Linked DNA regions of Kluyveromyces lactis. The protein of the gene in region 1 interacts with the protein of each later gene in a pairwise test. Links are inferred from orthologs where the notes say so. Each region holds a gene or a part of one and is shown in the gene's direction. Other genes may lie near its edges. The genes, in order: PEX21 and PPA2.

Region 1 (2,535 bases):
TCGCTGCCCTGTTCACTACTAAATTGCCTGTTCAAATTGGCTTTGCCCTTTGGCAATGACAGATTCTATTTCTTTTTCTTCCTTTAACTACTGGCATATTGAGTTAAGAAACACCTGGGAATGATCTCCGGGTAACGCGGAAAAAAAACCCACCTCTTGCTGCACCCCTTTTTTCATTGTCCACACTGTGCTTTGCCCGATTTTGCGGGTGTCGCACGACGACGGAGTTTATTTCCGCCGTTTCAGGCAAGGGAAGAGCTGAAACGGCTGAGTGACGGGTGGCGGCCGGGTAAGGAAAGAAAATACACTGATTACATAATACCATCCACGTGACGTAGTCACGTGGATGGTATTATGTAATCTCAGAGTTGAATGTCCGAAAGCATTCTTTTTTTTTTTTCTTCCTTCCTTTTCCTTTTCCCCCGGGGTTTAAAAATTCCGTTCCGTCCCGACCGGCATTCATTATGCAACTAATCGTCTTTTAGATTATCAAAATGTCAAATGATTATTCCATTTCGACCGAACTACCGCCTCTCCACTTGCTTACGTACTGTTTTTGGGTTCCCTCATCTAATAGCTTCCTCAATCGGCTAGAAGTGCCAGTACTGGTCTTCAGAAGTCCATAGAAAGCCTCACTGTTACCCGGGGGGTTTGCGCATCTGTCGCTCTTTCACTTTTTTTTTTTTTATTCACTTCCATTCCACATCTTTCAACCGTTAGTGGTCTGAACTTGTTTCATTTCTTTATTCATAATTTCTTTCTTTCGTCCAGGTTCTGCATTTATTATATATATATATATATATGTATATAAATAAAGTTTGTACATTGCTTGTTTCGATGATTTGCGGACTAGTTGTCTTATGTCTGTTGCTCGAGGAGACTACCACCAACCAAGAAATATAATACCATGTCAGTGTGTCAAACGAATCCTTTGAACACTCTTGTTTCGAAGTCTGGTTATAGGTTCGGACAGCCGAATCAGCACCAACAGAGCATCGCACAGCAGCAGAGCAGACCAAGAAATAATGCACTAGACCACCAGTTCTCTCAGTTTACTGGTGCCTCGGGTCCCAGTTTCGCTCATCCACAGCATCAACAGCTGCCTATGGCAGCTGTTGTTGCTAACGCTACTACTGCAGCCAGTACTACTAGTAATACTGCTACAGCCTCTGATCACCATGTTTGGATCGATCAGTTCGCAAACATGCAGGTGCACGACAAGACCGAGTTCCCAACAGATTATAAACAGATGTATTCGCAGTACGAGGCGCGTGGCGCCTCGTACTCCATGGGTGCACCGGTGATGGTGTCCCATTCACAAATGTTCCCGCGTCATCAGCAATCTCTGATGGTGAACCAACTCGAGTCACAAGCGTATGCCAGTAGTAGCGCGAAGCTCGATGAACAATTTGCTGAACTGGAAAGACAAGTGCAAGACGATGAAAAAGAACAGCAACAGGACAAGGATGACGATTTCCATCTCAAAGAAACGTCTCCTCTAGACGAAGATCAACGCCAATTAAAAGAAGCAGCCCAATCCATTTACACAACTCTTTCAGATAAATCATCTACAACTAGTTCGAAATTTTCGAACTCCAAGTTCCTTGGACTCATGAGAAATATCAGCGATGGTGTAATAACTCTGAAAAAGAACCCAGATGAGGATAAATATACGGAATTATATTCTCCTTCTACCGGTGAAACTTTTGGCGAAGAGTATTTCCCAGTGCAGGATAGTGTTTTAGGCGACCCCTTGGACTCCATTGGTGACTTATCTAATATGAGTTCATCGGAAGCCGCTGCAAAAGTGTACCATAACTCCGTTTGAAAAAAAAAAAATAAAATGGTATTACTAAGTATGAGTGGAGGGGTATTTCTCTGTTGTCAGATCTACTGTTATTTTGTCGATACATATTGAGTTAGAGTTACTCTACACTCACGTGGAAAATCACCTGGCAGGATCACCATATTCTACTTACTTCCCAATATTAGATTAACTTAGCTAAAGCTTAGTTCCAAAAATAATCTTATTTAATGACTATAATGATACATTTCAATCTCTTTTGCTTGAGTTGATGATTCTGCCTTTCTTGTGCCGTAATCTTCCATATTGGTAGCAAGACCAGTCGCTATCGTGCCTATAGACCCATCAGCATCTTCTTCCTCTGTTGCTAGTAACCCAAGCCCGTTTTTAAACTCATTTACTAAGGACCAAATCGCACTTCCCGCATTGTCGTCACCTTTTGGCTTGCCCTCTGATTGATTTTCAGTTGCACTGGATCCCGAGTCGCCTAATCCTAACTTCGTTTCAACGGTCCCCTGAATAATTTGGTCAAATTGGTTGAGTAATGAAACGGATTTTGTCCATAACGAGCTTGATTTGTTATCAGCGGTTTCTGCGTTGTTACTTTCCCCATGGGATTCTGCAGGTAATGTCGTATTAGAGTTCTGACCTTGAACTTGATTCCCCACTAAACGGCTAACTTTTTTCTTCAACTGCTGAAGTTCTTCTGCATTCTGTTTTATTATCTTATC
Region 2 (3,082 bases), about 410 kb from region 1:
CTTAGTTACCACGTTGGCCTCCTCTGCTACTTCTACTGTTACTGCCATCGTCGAAGAGCCAACTTCCGCGATGAACTTGTTGGCTGAGAATTTACCTAAGAGTTCCAATTTCTACGTCGGTTACATCATTCTACAAGGTTTATCCATCTCATCAGGTGCCTTGCTGCAAATCGTGCCTTTGATCTTGTTCTTCGTGTTGGGGATGTTCCTTGATTCTACTGCAAGAAAAAAGTACGCTAGATTCACTTCACTATCCTCAATGGCGTGGGGTACTACATTCCCTGTTTACACTAACTTGGCTGTTATCACTTTCTCCTACGCGATCATCTCTCCATTGATCTTGCTGTTTGCATGTGTTGCATTCTTCCTATTATACGTTGCTTACCTTTACAATTTGACGTATGTGTTCCAGGAATCTCCAGATTCCCGTGGAATCCATTACCCAAGGGCTTTGTTCCAAACAATGGTCGGTTTGTACTTGGGACAAATTTGTTTGTTGGGTCTCTTTGTTGTTGGTAAAGGTTGGGGTCCAATCGTGCTACAAGCCATTTGTCTAGGTGTCACTGTTTTCGTTCATCTAAACTTCAATTCAGCATTTGACCATTTAATGGCCTTTGAACCTGTTGATACAATGAAGGCATTGGATGGTAAATCAAACACACCATCTTACATCAGAGATTTCGTTGAACCAGAAAAGGATGAAATCAAGGAATTGCCACCATTCCAAATCAAGAAGTACCATCCTCGTTCCTCGTCACAATTCGACCAAAGAACTACATCCATTCTGAGTGACAACACTTACGAAATCCAAACTGGTGTCTTTGATACCGATAATGAAAACACTTTGAACACAGTTCCATTGCTAGCAGACGGTGACATGACTCCAGTGCCACCAGCTCCATTCTGGAAAAGGTTCTTACTCCCTCACATCTACTATTCTTACAAGGCTGTGAAAACAAGATTGCCCGAGATCTACAATCTACCAGATCCAACAGAAATAACCGATGAAAAAGAAATCAAGCATGCATACGATTTCCCAACAGTCTCAGCTAAATGTCCATTCCTATGGATTCCTCGTGATCCATATGGATTCTCTACAGTTCAGATTGCTGATTTAGCTGGTGTCGTTGAAATTTCTGATGAAGGTGCTCGTTTCACAGAATCTGGCTCTATTGAGTGGGAAACTGCTCCACCTTCTTACAATGATTCTCAAATGCAAGTTGTATCTAATCCGTTTGACGAACAAGATGAAGATAATCTTCAGAGAGAGGAATAATCGTCAAGATCCAATCTAAGCCATTTTCTCTTACCATGTTGTGTAAGCTTTTAATTTATCTTTTTGTAATATTTCCACTAATCACTGATTAAATAATAATTTGTCTATTAAATTTCAAGCTTACCGAATTACAACCAAACACTAAGGAATCGTGGTCCAGTCGAGTCTGGGTATCCCACAGAAAGGATTCATTCCATAGTTGCTGTGTGGGAATTGATGTCTAGAGATATGAGAAGGGCTTCGCAACATTTGAGGTTGATTGGCAACCATTTACATGCTAGAAACTACCACAACGTTTTGGTTGGAAGCAAATACTCATCGTCTTTTAAACAGTACTTGCAGCTGCCAAACGGTGAAATTGGGTCCTATTTCCACGATGTGCCATTAGACTTAGATGTTGATGCCAAAACATGTAACATGATCGTAGAGGTTCCACGTTGGAGTAATGGGAAGTTTGAAATCAGTAAGACCGAACCATTTAACCCCATCACACAGGACATAAAGAAAGGCAAGCCACGATTTGTCAATAACATTTTCCCTTACCATGGATACATTCATAACTATGGGGCTATCCCACAGACATGGGAACAGCCACTTATTGAAGTATTGCCCGGTTTCAAGGGTGATAATGACCCATTGGACTGTTGTGAAATTGGTTCCAGCATCGCCAAAATGGGAGATATCAAAAAAGTAAAGCTTCTAGGGTCATTAGCCCTCATTGACGATGGAGAACTCGATTGGAAAGTCATTTGTATCGACATTGAAGATCCCATTGCTATAAAATTGAACAAGTTGGCAGATGTAGACACTGTTATGCCTGGTCTCTTGGATGCAACTAGAACATGGTTCAGAGATTACAAGATTCCTGCTGGGAAACAACCTAATGTGTTTGCATTCGAAGGTGAGTACCAGGACCAAGCATCTACACTTTCTACGGTACAAGAATGTCACGAAGCCTGGAATGCTCTAGTTAGGGGAGAAATTAAAGCAGATGGATCAGAGGCCGAGATTCCCTCCATTGTCAGAGCGGGAACTCACATAAGAGTTGAACCTAATCAACAAAATGACACACCAATCCCACAAGAAGTGGACAAATGGTACTATGTATGAACTTAAAAGCAGTCAGTGGTCAGTAAGCTTCTTCGGTTAGGTTAACCTGGCACAGCTCATCTCCTCTTATTATGCCTTTATGATATACATGTCCAATATTTTGATGTTACCCTCTCTCATATGTAGTGCAAAATTTTAATGTAAACAAAACTATATTTAATGAAACTATTCGATCTAACAATTAAGACGATGAGACAGTGGTACAGATTCACGTCAACTAAAGGCTATTGCGCTGGCCAGGTGTACCGTGCAGCATGTCATCTTTATCATTTGCTGGAATTTGTGCGTTTCTCCGCTCTGGGGAATACGATAAGGTACATAATGAGCCTACTTTCCAGGCAATCGATAAATTCTTGAAGGACAACGAAGAGATACTGGTTCATCTTTCGAGGTTTACCTCAGTTGAAAACACTGATTCCGTTGGAAAACAGCTGCAATTGAGGGGTTATTCATATAATGTGACGGTAGAGGACGAAAAATTGGCCAATGAGCTTTCAATTGCGTTAAATGTACATCAAAAAGAGTGTTTGAGAGTTATTTCGCAGACCAGGACCAGGTTCCCAGATTGTCCAATGGAAAAAGATACCATCGTTAAACAGATCTTACATGAAAGAAACTGTGTCTTGGATACAACCCTCGTTTTATTAAATCATGATTCTTTCCCAGTTTTAAAGGGCTCCATGTTACAACTTGTCT

Evidence for each region.
Region 2: the proteins of PEX21 (region 1) and PPA2 interact in a two-hybrid assay, tested with the Saccharomyces cerevisiae proteins (2 studies listed by BioGRID). The link is inferred for Kluyveromyces lactis from reciprocal best matches to the Saccharomyces cerevisiae genes PEX21 and PPA2.

The regions. Positions count from the first base shown.
Region 1 is NC_006041.1:1,384,895-1,387,429, forward strand, and holds PEX21 (Pex21p), read left to right. Parts: upstream 1-907; coding exon 908-1,828; downstream 1,829-2,535. Other genes in the region: TDA11 (Tda11p), read right to left, coding at 2,032-2,535. UniProt on the Saccharomyces cerevisiae protein: Receptor that mediates peroxisomal import of proteins containing a C-terminal PTS2-type peroxisomal targeting signal via its interaction with PEX7.
Region 2 is NC_006041.1:974,378-977,459, reverse strand, and holds PPA2 (inorganic diphosphatase PPA2), read left to right. Parts: upstream 1-1,492; coding exon 1,493-2,386; downstream 2,387-3,082. Other genes in the region: RSN1 (Rsn1p), read left to right, coding at 1-1,276; NUP188 (Nup188p), read left to right, coding at 2,641-3,082. UniProt on the Saccharomyces cerevisiae protein: Involved in energy production. Its activity is stimulated by uncouplers of ATP synthesis.